Schizosaccharomyces pombe: one gene and its partner. The gene in region 1 interacts genetically with each later gene. Each region holds a gene or a part of one and is shown on either strand. Other genes may lie near its edges.

Evidence for each region. Genes that interact genetically often act in the same process or in processes that back each other up.
Region 2: of pzh1 (region 1) and trk1, changing one suppresses a phenotype caused by changing the other (phenotypic suppression), as found in Schizosaccharomyces pombe (one study listed by BioGRID).

The regions. Positions count from the first base shown.
Region 1 is NC_003424.3:1,525,564-1,532,961, reverse strand, and holds pzh1 (serine/threonine protein phosphatase Pzh1), read left to right. Parts: upstream 1-3,189; 5' UTR 3,190-3,450; coding exon 3,451-4,998; 3' UTR 4,999-5,397; downstream 5,398-7,398. Other genes in the region: U3 snoRNP protein Utp14, read left to right, coding at 1-1,649; SPOM_SPAC57A7.07C (homocysteine methyltransferase), read right to left, coding at 1,847-2,773; rnf13 (RING finger protein), read left to right, coding at 6,813-7,398.
Region 2 is NC_003424.3:2,815,841-2,823,600, forward strand, and holds trk1 (plasma membrane potassium ion transmembrane transporter Trk1), read right to left. Parts: upstream 5,232-7,760; 5' UTR 4,942-5,231; coding exon 2,416-4,941; 3' UTR 2,346-2,415; coding exon of another isoform or gene 2,238-2,345; 3' UTR 2,198-2,237; downstream 1-2,197. Other genes in the region: MCM complex subunit Mcm5, read left to right, coding at 102-1,783, 1,825-2,197, 2,238-2,345; glycine--tRNA (Gly) ligase Grs1, read left to right, coding at 5,646-7,604. UniProt on the Schizosaccharomyces pombe protein: Together with TRK2, defines the major, high-affinity potassium influx transport system. Involved in maintenance of the proper sodium/potassium ratio in the cell and in regulating the plasma membrane potential.

The DNA of each region.
Region 1 (7,398 bases):
TGGCCTCTAGCTTTGAGCCTAGGACTGAATCTGAGAGAAAGATGCACCAGGCTTTACTAGATGCAGGTCTTGAAAATGAATCAGCGCTGAAAAAACAAGAAGAATTAGCCTTAAATAAACTTTCTGTTGAAGAAGTTGCTGAAAGAACTCGTCAGCTTCGATTTATGCGAGAGCTAATGTTCCGTGAGGAAAGAAAGGCCAAACGTGTTGCTAAAATAAAAAGCAAAACTTACAGGAAGATCAGAAAGAATCGTAAAGAAAAAGAAATGGCTTTAATTCCTAAGAGTGAAGAGGATCTTGAGAATGAACGGATTAAATCTGAAGAAGCTCGTGCTTTGGAAAGAATGACTCAACGTCACAAAAACACAAGCTCTTGGACCCGTAAAATGCTTGAAAGGGCGTCACATGGTGAAGGAACCCGTGAAGCAGTCAATGAGCAAATACGGAAAGGAGACGAGCTTATGCAACGTATCCATGGTAAAGAGATATCTGAAATGGATGGAGAAGATGTTTCTGAGTTCTCGGATAGCGATTATGACACAAATGAACAGGTGTCAACCGCTTTTGAAAAAATACGAAATGAAGAGGAACCAAAGTTAAAAGGTGTACTGGGCATGAAATTTATGCGTGATGCGTCCAATCGACAAAAGGCTTTAGTGCAAGATGAAATGCAAGCATTCGAAGACGAACTCGCAGGAGTACCCAATGAAGATGATACATCTCAAAAAGGAGAGGACGGGGTTCCTGGAGTATTAATAGGGAATAATACAGGCCGTCGTTCATTTAAGCCTTCCGAAGAAGCTGCAAAATTATCTTTGCCATCAAGGAAAAATCCCTTTGTTTCTGATTCAGCGGTGCTGAAAGTCAACAAACCGGAAATGAAGGAAGGACAAAAGAAGGCCGAAGCTCGAAAAAAAAAGGAATCACCATTAGAAGCAACTGAGGAAACTAATCCATGGTTGCAAGTACCTGACCAAAGGACCTCTTCTGCCAAAAAGTTGGATAAAAACAGCTCTAAGGCAGACAAAAAGAATCACAAGTTAAAAATGGACAAAGTTGCCTCCCTTCAAGAACTTGTCGAAGAACCTAAAGTTCAGCCTGATTTAATTTTTGAAGAAAAGGCTTTTGAATCAGCGTCGGAAGCGGAATCGGATGTTGATGTTTCGGTACCTATGTTAAAGCCAACCAAAGGTCGTTTGTCAATTAAGCAGAGAGAGCTTGTTGCTAAAGCATTTGCTGGCGACGATGTTGTCGCTGAATTTGAAAAGGATAAAGAAGACTGGGTTCAAGAGGATGCACCGAAAGAAGAAGATCATAGTTTGCCCGGTTGGGGTTCATGGGGAGGTGTTGGCGTAAAACAAAGAAAGACTAAGCCTAAGGTTAAAAAAATTGCTGGACTAGATCCGTCAAAGCGGAAGGATTCTAAGCTAAAGCATGTGATTATTAATGAAAAACGCAACAAGAAAGCTGCTAAGCTTACTGCTGATAGTGTTCCGTTCCCATTTGAATCACGAGAACAGTATGAACGATCTCTTAACTTGCCTATGGGACCAGAATGGACTACTCGAGCTTCACATCATAAGGCTGTTGCTCCCAGAGTTGTTACCAAACGTGGTAAAGTCATTAATCCTATTAAGGCACCTAATTAGATTCTTATATGTACATTGAGTTTTGGATTTTTGTTATTAGATTGATATCTTTTGCAGTAGATTAGATACATTTGTAATGGATTTTGGGATATTGGGAAGAAATATATATTTTGAGGTAAATACTTTAAACAAGAAAAAAATTAATTCAATACAAATATATTAATATCATGAGGAAAATTAATTAAAATGGTTATAATTTACTTCGTTTTCTCCCGGAGTAAAGATAAGTGATTATAATTTGTTTCACAGCATCCACCGAGTATCAGGTTTCCATTATGTAGATTTGAGTATTTAGCCGTTATAGTTGACCATTCTTCAGGTGAAGGGGCAGGATGATCTGTTGAGCCAGGTGAAAAAGTACCGTCTGGATTTTGATACAACCCGCGGCCGTCAGGGTACAAAATAGCAGTTATGTTGGATGGTAAAAGACTGGATAGCATTTTTGCGATGGGTTCGAGTAAACTGAGGTGAAAGCAATTAACACCGATGCCCCATATAGAGTCATGATTGATGCTCAGTATCTTGGAGATAATGGACGATACTCGTTCAATAGTGCTGCGCTCAGGGCACGTACAGGTGATCCAGCAACGCTTAGACCAACCTTTCATATCTTGAATGAGTTGGCATACTACTTCTGCTTCAGTCACGTGAGGAAGGCTTTCAAATGCAATGAAGTCAATTTTTTCGAAAGCTTTAGGATTAGATGCTTGAATGGCTTCAATTCTGTTTTTATGAAAATTGTATAGCATTTCAAAATCGGTGGGTTTATCATAAATCATTTTGTATTCCATACATCCAGGAATAGTAGCAGCATGACTTCCGAGACATAAAGCAATATATTTGTTGGGCAAACCCAAATGTTCTCTAGCATAAACAGGTAACCCAATGCTGTTTGCGTAAACCTGTTTTAATGGTACACCTTCTACCTTTTCGTCGTAGATAGAAGCATCCAGTTGATAAGTGAAAGTACTAATAATGTCGCAAACTTTTAAAAATTCTTCATGATGCTTAACAACGATCTCTGGATAACGCACCAGTGCTTCAGAGGTCCATAATCTAGACTCAGATATACTTTCAGGAAGCTTTGGAAGAATGGCAGTAGAGCCACCGTCTAACATAAGCATTTTGGAAAACTCAAAAATTGGGAAAAATAGTTCAACGAACAGCAAAAATGGTATCTCAGGTTATACACTAGTATTAACAGATGTAACTGCCTTTTGATGGATATTACAACAGTTTAGAGAATATCGCACAATCAGAAACCCAATCGACCCAAAACAAAAACATTTGAGTAAGAATCAGACTAGTATATAACGTAACGCGAAATTTTTCCATATTTAATTTAACGTTAATTTACGTGGATCAATTGCGCCTTTTATTTTACTTTGGAATACACTGCAGTTATTATACAGTAAGTGCGCCATCATCGTTGCACCACACTAGATGGACCCAGCGAGTTCAGTTCTCGAGTAAGATGGAACGGGCTACTACGTCTATCAGATTTATACTACACTTCCCATCACTTGTTAACCCATTCTTCACCACGACCTTACAAATTTTTAAACGATTGTGTTTTGTCAGCAAAGCAAAACATTTTTATAGACCAGGATTACTTGAAGAAGAGAAAATCTACTAATTTACGGAAAATATCGAAAAATAGAAAAAATCTAGGTACAATTGGGAAACCTTTTAATTTTGGCACTAAATGCAAGCAACGAAGTCTCGATTTTGAAGTAAAAAAGAAAATAAAAATAGAACAAAGTGGAATAGTTTCCCGGAATCTACCATTAATTGAAATACAATGGGACAGGGGAGCAGTAAACACGCCGACAGCAAGCTCGATTCCTACCCATCCTTTTCTCGGTCAGACACTCAAGGATCCATTAAGTCTTTAAAGTCTCTGAAAACAGTCCTGGGGAAGGGCAAAGACTCGAATCATGATCGCCGAACGTCTACTGATACAACCCATAGTCGTCACCGGTATCCCGAAACACCACCAAGCCTTCCTCCTCCTCCTTCTCCTGGGATATTAGCTACATCTCCGGCTGTGTTGCAAAAGCATCAACAGGAGGATTCGGGAAATTCTTCTCAATCTCCGACGTCGCCGCATCCTTCTAACCAGCCTGCCATGCTTAGTCCCTCTACGGCCGCTTCCCAGCATCATCATCATCATTCTTCTTCTTCTTCTTATGCCGTTTCTCCAACATCACCTACCTCACCAACCAGCTCTGGCCCAATTGGCTCCAACTTTGATTCAGCTTCTGAGCATAATGGTCCTGTGTATCCACAAGATCAGCAGGGGCCCGTAATTATCCCTAATTCGGCAATTTCTTCTACGGATCCTGATGATCCTGAAACAGTTGTTAGCCTTAACGTAGATGAAATGATTCAAAGATTGATCCATGTTGGCTATTCTCGAAAAAGTAGTAAAAGTGTGTGTCTAAAGAATGCTGAAATTACCAGCATTTGTATGGCCGTACGAGAAATATTTCTTTCGCAGCCGACACTTTTAGAATTGACCCCGCCGGTGAAAATCGTTGGTGACGTTCATGGTCAATATTCCGATTTAATTCGACTGTTTGAAATGTGTGGGTTTCCTCCGAGCTCTAATTATTTATTCTTAGGCGATTATGTCGATCGTGGTAAGCAGAGTCTTGAAACCATCCTCTTGCTCTTTTTGTACAAGATCAGATATCCAGAAAACTTTTTCTTGCTACGGGGCAATCATGAATGCGCTAATATCACTCGCGTTTACGGTTTTTACGATGAGTGTAAAAGACGTTGCAATATCAAAATTTGGAAGACTTTCATAAACACCTTTAATTGCTTACCCATTGCGTCCGTTGTAGCCGGTAAAATTTTTTGCGTTCATGGTGGTCTTTCTCCATCGTTAAGTCATATGGATGACATACGGGAGATTCCTCGTCCTACTGACGTTCCTGACTATGGATTGCTGAATGATTTGTTATGGTCAGATCCTGCTGATACTGAAAACGATTGGGAAGATAATGAACGAGGTGTTTCTTTTGTTTTCAACAAAAACGTTATCCGGCAATTTTTGGCCAAGCACGACTTTGATTTAATCTGTCGTGCTCACATGGTTGTTGAAGACGGTTATGAATTTTTTAATGACAGAACTTTATGTACGGTGTTTTCTGCCCCTAATTACTGTGGGGAATTTGATAATTGGGGGGCCGTGATGAGTGTTAATTCAGAGCTGCTTTGTTCCTTTGAACTTATAAAGCCTCTCGACCAGGCAGCAATTCGACGAGAATTAAAAAAGAGCAAGCGTAGTGGTATGGCTATTTATCAATCTCCCCCTGCTGAGCAGGTTACCCAAAGCGTGTAAGCATTCTATTTTTTCTATTTTGGTCTCCATTTGAAATTATCTAGCGGTTTTATTGGGACACTATTTTATTCTCTTAAATGAGTATTATCTGTTATTATGTTATAGTCACTATGGTGATGGATCAAGTCCTTGGTTCACTTTATCGGTTCGAGGGCAATTCCATCCTGACACGTTTAGTATAAGTTTCTGTTTCTTTTAATAAAAACACAATCATTTCCATATAGTGACAGTTAACTTGCTTTTTATTTTTGCTAACCGACACCTGCTGAACATCGAAAGAGTAGGTAAAAAATTTACATGAGGAGGAAATAAACAATTATTATAGTATTATTATTAGCATTAAATAAATTTAAAGCGAAAATGTATCCATTTCTTTGTAAATCTTCTATCAATTACTAATCTCCCATACGATGGGCTTAAAACAACACTTTGAAAACTAAAGTTGAATGTGGTATCGTACTTAAGTACTTCTTTCCATGATCCATTTGTGATAAGTATTTTGGTTTCCTTATTGTATAATGAGTAAGCTACTTTTGTTGCATAATGCTGCCAAGTAGGCAGTTCTTTGATAAATCTCCTGCGTTGTTTTGTTTGTGTCAGCTTTTTCGTTCAATCAAGATATTTTATCACATTATTTCAAGGTTCAATGAATCATTCGAAGAATAGTAACGAATTCAGATATATTAAATAAAGGCACACATAATCTCTAAAGATTACAGTTTAATGGCTCTTTCAAAGTGTTTAGTAATATATACACTAAATTTCTAAAATTCAGTAGTTATGGCGAAGTGGCCGAGTGGTCTATGGCGCTAGCTTCAGGTGAAAGCAATTGCTAGTCTACGTATGTGGGCGTGGGTTCGAACCCCACCTTCGTCAATATAATTTTTTATATCATGTTAATGGAATTGAGAAAAAGCAAGCTGTCAGTTTATACTTTCAATGTTATGCAGAAACCGTTTTATTTCAATTATTTACACTGTTTGACACTACTAAAGCAGAGTTAATTGTAATGAGACATAACGGTACATGGTGCTTCGACTTTCATAACCATTAAAGAAAAGAAGAATGTCTTGATTTTGGCTTATTTAAAGACCCATTGTGACTGGAAAAACAAATGACCCTACGTAGTAAAGGGTAAAATGAATTTTTTTTAATTTTTTTTTTAGATTCAATGTAGAAATATAATCGATTATCAGATTCATTGTCATGCCTGATAATCCATGTATGATACTATGCAAAGATATAAAGAGAATTTTCTTCTTTTTTAAAAGTTGTTTTAAAGATAGAGGATGTTGTTTTTAAGCTGCTGAAACTGAATAATATAAGAAATCTAACGAGCAAGAGAATGCTCGACTTATGTTTACAATATTATATAGCTAAATATCTTAAGTTCTTATTATATAACTTTATACAGTACAATGATACTTTTCAATATTATATAAGTATTTACCTCTTTTGATCAGATACAAAGTATCTTTCAAGAGAGCTTGTTTTCTACTGACTGTTTCGTCTTTAAAATAAGTTGATTGGGAATAAATTGTATTAATTTTTTTTATCCCTCGCAAATATCGGATTTCCTTTTGTTGAACACTGCAACTTGCCTTAATGCTGACAATGTTACTAATCAATTGAATAATCCTGGCAACTACTAGTGAAAAGGGTTTTAAAATAAAATAAAATATCTCAAAATAGCTTACGCATACCTTTTTTGGTGACTCTGTAGTTATCGTTATACAGGTGCTATATAACTAAGCGGCTTCACCTTGCGGTATCCGTTCTTCCTCCACTCTTCACGCCTTCTGTAAATTATTAATATGTCGTATTATCAAATAATAGTTTGTATTCTAGCATCCATTAGTTATATCATTCTTCTAGAGGTAATTGCCTTAGATCTTGGAGTGTTAGATAACATATTTATTCCTAAGCGATTTGCGGCCAGTACAGATGTTGCCATTCAGCTGCCGGACCGTAATGTCACTCTATGGTCACGACAGGCAGTATTTGGTAAACATTTTACGAACGCTTCAGCTACCACTGTGATTAATCTTTATCTACCTTCTAACTTCCAAGAGGATATGTCCGGATGCCCAAACAGAAACGATACTGACGCTTCCTACTTTTACGAAAATGATATAATCGACTATGACATTGAGTATATAGAGCAAAAATCATATTCCTCCAAGCCTTCTGCTCGAGTACAAAAGGATGATGGGGGCGAGTCAAAGGATGAAGCAATATTGGATTTTCTCTTGGTTCAAAGAGGCAAGTGTACCTATTTTGATAAAGCATTGGAAGCCCAAAGGCTCGGATTTAAAGGGGTTATAGTTGGTGACAATCGATCACCTTCCTCATTTCGCTTACATTATATGGTTGCCCCCGATAAAGTGGACGAGTCAAAAG
Region 2 (7,760 bases), 1.3 Mb from region 1:
GCGAAATTTGCTTCATCCTTTATTTTATACCATATCATCTTTTTTATCTCGCTTTTTTATTTTTTTTTAACTCATTCCCCTTAGTCTTTTTCATCACAATAATGGCTGCAGCAACAGGTTGGGAACGGAGTGCTGTATATTATACCCCAGTTCTCCCAGGAGAGCAAGAATTAGATTCCAATGTTAGTCATGAGAAGAATTTCATACAGTTTATTGAAGAATTTGTGATTGACAATGACTTTATCTATCGTACTCAACTAAGAGACAATCTCGTGGTAAAACAATACATGTTGAACATAGATCTTAGGCACCTGATCAGTTATAACGAAGATCTAGCTCATTTGCTTCTGAGTCAGCCGACAGATATTCTACCTCTGTTTGAGTCTGCTGTCACTACAGTTGCTAAACGCCTACTTTATAGAAGTCAAGAAAATGCTTCTACGAATATCCCCACTTGCCAGGTAACTCTACGTTACGATGCTAACATCCTTCCAATCCGTAACCTGACAGCTTCTCATATCTCAAAACTGGTTAGAGTGCCTGGTATCATCATCGGTGCTTCAACACTTTCCTGCCGTGCAACTGCTTTGCACTTAGTATGCAGAAATTGTAGGGCTACCAGGATTTTACAGATTTCTGGTGGATTTTCAGGTGTTCAGCTTCCTAGAGTTTGTGAAGCTCCTGTTCTCGATGGTGAAAAAAAAGACTGCCCGATGGATCCTTTCATTATTGATCATTCAAAATCGACTTTTATCGATCAGCAGGTGCTTAAACTACAGGAAGCTCCTGATATGGTTCCTGTCGGTGAGTTGCCTCGTCATATATTATTGAATGCTGATCGCTATTTAACTAACCAAATTACTCCGGGAACCCGCTGCGTTATTACTGGCATTTTTTCTATTTTTCAAAATAAGTCTGTTAAAGCTAGTGGTGCCGTGGCCATTCGGAACCCTTATATCAGAGTCGTGGGTATTCAAATGGATTCAAATGATGGCTCTAAATCTACTCCTTTATTTAGTGAAGAGGAAGAAGAGGAGTTCCTTGAAATTTCTCGTACTCCGAATTTGTACGATATTATATCCAACAGCATATCTCCCGCTATTTATGGTAATGTAGACATCAAGAAAGCTATTGCATGCCTACTTTTTTCAGGTTCTAAAAAAATTCTCCCCGATGGTATGCGCCTTCGTGGTGACATTAATGTTTTACTTCTTGGTGATCCTGGTACTGCGAAATCTCAATTTTTGAAATTCGTTGAGCGACTGGCCCCCATCGCTGTTTATACTTCCGGTAAAGGTTCAAGTGCTGCTGGTTTGACTGCTTCTATTCAAAGAGACTCAGTTACCAGAGAATTTTACCTTGAAGGTGGCGCAATGGTTCTTGCTGATGGTGGCATTGTCTGTATTGATGAATTTGATAAAATGAGGGATGAAGATCGTGTTGCTATTCACGAAGCAATGGAGCAACAAACTATTTCAATAGCTAAAGCCGGTATCACTACTATATTGAATTCTAGGACATCCGTTTTAGCTGCTGCTAATCCAATTTTTGGCCGATACGATGATATGAAGACACCAGGTGAAAACATTGATTTTCAATCTACGATTCTTTCAAGATTCGACATGATATTTATTGTTAAGGATGAACATGATGAAACAAAGGATCGAAATATTGCCCGTCACGTTATTAATCTTCATACCAATTTACAAGAATCTAGTGAGACTTTAGCAATTGGAGAAATTCCTTTTGATAAGTTTCGGCGGTACATAAACTATTGTAGACAGTAAGTATACCAAATTTAATATTAGTTACTAATGGATTTAGCAAATGTGCACCTAATCTTGATGCAGAGGCAGCTGAAAAGCTATCTAGTCAATTTGTCGCAATTCGAAAACGTGTTCATCAGTCAGAGCAGGACAGTAACTCGCGTTCTACCATTCCAATCACTGTTCGTCAATTAGAGGCAATCATACGAATTACTGAATCCCTTGCAAAAATGTCATTATCACCTATTGCTTCTGAAGCTCACGCTACTGAAGCGATTCGACTGTTTTTGACCAGTACACTTGCTGCTGCTACACAAAGTTCGCCTGAAGTTACTGAGGAAGTAAAAAAAATTGAAGCCAGCTTAAGAAAAAGGTTACCTATAGGGTTTCAGGCGAGTTACCGTATGCTTATACGAGAATACGTAAATGGGGTATGTTTATTGATTAAATCTAAGTCTAACATAATTTTAGCATGGATATTCACAACACGCGTTAGAAATGGCTTTACAAATTCTTTCGTCGAAGGAAACAATTCAACTCAGAAATGGCGGACAAACGGTGTATCGATCAGGAGTATGAAATTTAGCGAGCGTACTATTTATTAGATGATATAATTTACAAATATAATACATGATCGTGATAAGAAATATCAGTCTCGAGAAACTGCAATACTGCCACGTGCGTTGTCTATGGAAAATCCGTGACGACGTTGATAATCTTCTTCTTCTTTCAGATTATTTTTTTCAGAAGGAAGAAGGATGGCTCGATCAACAGCCCTGGGTAAACCTCTATGTCTACCGCGCAGTTCAAGTGCTATAATAACTAGTTTACTTATAGTAGTAAATCTTGCTGAAAGTGAACAATTTGAGGAGCTTAATCCAGTACTAAGTCCCACCGTACCGTAAGCAGAGACTACTTCAAAAAGGACAGTAAAAATACTGAAATCGGTATCTAGAGGATTGGAGATTTTACCTCCTTCACAAATGCATATGATGAATAGCCCTAGAAAAATATACCATAAATCGTAACTTAATTGTTCAGTAAGGTGATCTTTTAAGAAAGATTTCCCCTCATCATCTTCAGTTCTGTAAACACCCAAAGATCGCTCCTCATAAACATTGGTATTTCTCATGTTGATAGCAACTGGATAAACAGAAATATACATCATAACCATGTAACTGACCAGTACTGCTGGGTGAAGTTCACTAATTGATACACTCGTGAATCCTGCGGTTCTTGTACAAACTGATTGAAATATTGCATTTACAACCCTAATACCTTTAGGAAGGCTAGCGACTGCTTTACTTCCAGTATCTAAGACCATGAACAATACCAGATCAATGACATTAAGCAGCAGCAAAACAAAAAACAAGACCCAGGTTGCTCCAGATGGAAACAATAAAGTGAAACATCGTCGAGGATGATCAAGGAGAAATGCCATAGCTTCTTTCTTCTCAAAACTAAAAGGGTATAGCTTATACGTTGTCCAAATGAATGTTCTAAAAAAACAAGGGAATCCCGTGTTACCTGCGATAATGAATAAAGATGAAATCAACAAAAGAAAAATGTTTCGATTCATTGGCACAAAAGACGATGGTATTAAAGAAAACCCCAAATCATTAAATGAAGAAGCAGACGAGAATAACGCCCACCACCCACGACGTAAGTCATAAGAATCTATTACCTCTCGCGATCCCACTGCCGTATAAGCAAAAACAATGAAGGTCACAAAGGCAGCAATATTAAAAATGATAAAATAAAGGGTAACCATGGAGCAGACGCATTTCAAAGCTCTATATTCAATTCCACCCAGCTCGTCCCGCTGTTCTTTAGACAAAGCAACGAAAGCAGAATTACGATCGACAGTAGGATTATACGACAAATAGGGAAGTGACATAGTAGTGTGTCTTGATGAAATAGAAGGCTCACGTTTTTTAGCAAAGGCAGAAGAAAGGACTCGTTCAAGAGTCAAGTTTCGTCGGTTAGAAGTGAATGACTTTGTCCAACGTATTGGACGATGAAGTCCTCGCGAAAATCTGGAACGTAAAGATTTTTTATAAAAACGACTTTTTTTTCTAAGTTTAAGATTACGTTCACGCTCTATGGTGGGCTTATTAAGTCCGGTGAAAGCAATATGCATGTCAACTGTCGATGGTTCAGTGTCTTTAGATAGGGAGGAAGAAGACAGAGACGACCTTACTATTCCGTCTATTGTATTGGCAGGCCTTAAACCACCTTCTGGGAAAAGATTGTCGTCCCCAGTGAGAGTAAATGAATCCCTCGATACAACCAAATTAGTATCAGAATAACTATAAGCCATAGGGAGAGATTCCTGAACTAAGGCGCCTTCAGATAAAGTTTCACGGGTGTCGTCAGCCTCTAAAGGATTAACGGAGGAAATAAAAGAGCTTTGTCTACGAAGTCGGGGATGAAGGTCATCCATTTCATACATTTGCATCGAGGCTGAATGCGAACTACCAAAATCGTAATTTTTATTTTCAATGGAAGGTTCATAGTCATGAAAAGTCATGTTGTGACTTTCCAAATCCATGTCTAGCGTATCAGACTTTTTTGGGAGATACTTTCCAAAATACTCGTCTTTAGATATATCTGCCTTGGGAGAAGGGGGGTTGTCAGGAAAGTACGGATTGTTCGTACTGTCATGCGTGTCAAATCTCGAGAAGTTTTTTAGAGACGTTGGACTCCTTAGTGAATGTAGGTATGGTAACATTACACGAATTTTTCTACCACGAACACCCTGTTCTTCGTCATCCTCGCTTTTTTTCATTAAGCTTTTACGGAGCTTTCTCTGAAATTTTCGAGTACGATTTTGACGAACAACGTCTTTAAATTTTCGTCGAAACCAATACAGCCGGATGAAGGAAATACTTCCGTGCATCCATATAGGAACCGTAATAGCAGTAAATCCATACAGGATAAACTGCTGCCAGATAGATAAAGAATTTAAGTCAACACTGTTAAGGCCTGTTTGGGTAGTTGCGCTGCTAGCTAAGAATAAAGCATCGATATACTTGATTTTCGTGGTGGTCCCTCCGGTAAAAAGTAGGATAGAGGCAATGATAGTTAAGGATATAATGTAAATATAATGAATTGCCAAGAATCCAAAAGTTGGTATCACCCACTTGAACCATCTTTGAATGTAATTTAGGACCATTTATTTTAGTCAATACTTCCAGCCAAACCCACCAACAACAGAACAAGAAACAGAGAAATTGGTTTGAAGTTAACGGAAATCCTTAACTATGGACAAGATAAGAAGCAATTAGTTTTGAAATCTACGGGTAAAAGCGATACTGATGAGGAAACCACTAAATTTCTAAAAGGGAATTATGACAAATGACAAACGACATTTTTACCCAATCTTTGACGATTCCTTTCAACAATACTTGAGGATTCCTCTCTTATAATACAACGTAAAATCGCGTCTTCTTTCCCGTAGAAGGTAGTTTCTAAGCGGTTCAAAGTTTCAGCCTATACTTCGACCATGTTGTACGCTTTGGGCAGTGAAGTGAGATTGTTGACGATCTTTAACATAAATCGTTGTTGTTCCGTAAAAAATGTTAACAAGATTTAGAGTGTTCAAGTACTTTTTACAGGTACCGTATTTAAATTAAGGAAAGTCCAAAAGTTCGCATAACAACGCATAATATGAATTGATGTAGCCTAACAAAATGCACTATCTATGAATTTTACGAACTAGCAAAATTTCTAGCTTTGAACAGTTTATCTTCCGTAAACATTTGAAAACCAGGCGAAAAGCAGGCATTTTAAAGCTTTTCGCTCCTTGCTTGCATAATTTCTTTTCAAGCGTTTCGTTCTTCTTGCACAGCCTTTGCTAAACGGATTTTCAGTAGAAAAATGACAGAAGTTTCAAAGGCAGCAGCTTTTGATCGAACTCAGTTCGAGGAGTTAATGAAGAAGAGATTCTTCTTCTCTCCTTCTTTTCAAATCTATGGTGGAATTAGTGGATTGTATGATTATGGCCCACCAGGTAGTGCACTTCAATCTAATCTGGTTGATATTTGGCGAAAGCACTTTGTTATCGAAGAAAGCATGCTGGAGGTTGATTGCTCCATGCTTACTCCTCATGAAGTTTTGAAGACTAGTGGGCATGTTGATAAGTTTGCAGATTGGATGTGTAAGGACCCTGCTACCGGTGAAATCTTTCGTGCCGACCACTTGGTTGAAGAGGTTTTGGAAGCCCGTTTGAAGGGTGACAAGGAAGCTCGTGGGCAGAATTCCAATGACCAGCCTGAAGAATCTGATGACAAGAAGAAGCGTAAGAAGAAGGTAAAGGAAATTCGTGCGACTCGTCTGGATGACAAGACTGTTGAGGAATACGAGTTTATTCTTGCCCAAATTGACAACTATGATGGAGATCAATTAGGTGAGCTCATGAAGAAGTATGACATTCGTAACCCTGCAACCAACGGTGAGCTTGAAACCCCTCGTCAGTTCAACTTAATGTTTGAAACTCAAATTGGTCCCAGTGGTGGTCTGAAAGGTTACCTCCGACCTGAAACTGCCCAAGGACAATTTTTAAACTTTAGCCGTTTATTGGAGTTTAATAACGGCAAAGTTCCCTTTGCCAGTGCTATGGTTGGTAAAGCCTTCCGTAATGAGATTTCTCCTCGGAGTGGCCTGCTTCGTGTTCGTGAGTTTTTGATGGCCGAAGTCGAACACTTTGTCGATCCTAAAAACAAAGAGCATGATAGATTTGACGAGGTTTCTCATATGCCCCTTCGTTTGTTGCCCCGTGGTGTCCAATTAGAAGGAAAGACTGACATTTTGGAAATGCCCATAGGTGATGCTGTCAAGAAAGGAATTGTTGATAACACTACATTAGGTTATTTTATGGCCCGTATCAGCTTATTCTTGGAGAAAATTGGTATTGATATGAACCGTGTTCGTTTTAGGCAACATATGAGCAATGAAATGGCTCATTATGCTTGCGATTGCTGGGATGCCGAAATTCAATGCTCTTACGGCTGGATCGAGTGTGTAGGTTGCGCTGATCGTAGTGCCTATGATCTTAGCGTTCACAGTAAAGCTACCAAGACTCCTTTAGTAGTTCAAGAGGCTCTTCCTGAACCTGTTGTTGTTGAACAATTCGAGGTTGAAGTTAATCGCAAAAAATTTGGTCCACGTTTCAAACGTGATGCCAAGGCTGTTGAGGAAGCTATGATTTCGTGGCCGGAATCGGAAAAAGTTGAAAAAAGTGCTCAACTTGTTGCTGAAGGTAAAATTATTGTTAATGTTAATGGTGTTGAGCATACAGTAGAATCTGATCTCGTCACAATTGAGAAGAGAAAGCATACTGAACACATTCGTACTTATACTCCTAATGTTATCGAGCCATCCTTTGGATTAGGCAGAATCTTGTATGTACTCATGGAACATGCTTATTGGACTAGACCAGAAGACGTAAACCGTGGTGTTTTGTCCTTCCCTGCTTCTATCGCACCTATTAAGGCCCTCATTGTTCCTTTGAGCCGCAATGCTGAGTTCGCTCCTTTTGTAAAGAAATTGTCTGCCAAACTTCGCAATCTTGGCATTTCTAATAAAATAGACGATTCTAATGCCAATATTGGCCGTCGCTATGCTCGTAACGATGAATTGGGAACTCCCTTCGGGTTGACTGTAGACTTTGAGACTCTTCAAAACGAAACTATTACACTTCGCGAACGTGATTCTACTAAGCAAGTTCGTGGTAGTCAAGATGAAGTTATTGCTGCTCTTGTTTCTATGGTCGAGGGAAAATCATCTTTTGAAGATGCACTAGCTAAGTTTGGAGAGTTTAAGTCTACACAAGAATAGGTTACTTAACTCACTAGTATACTGGAAAGTAAATAACTTACTAATTGTATTATTCTTATGTATTCAATGTCTAGGATTTAGTAGCTGGAGTGAAACGCCAATTATGCATACTTTGTTGGTAATTTCATTTTTTCCTGTCCATGGTATATTTTAAAT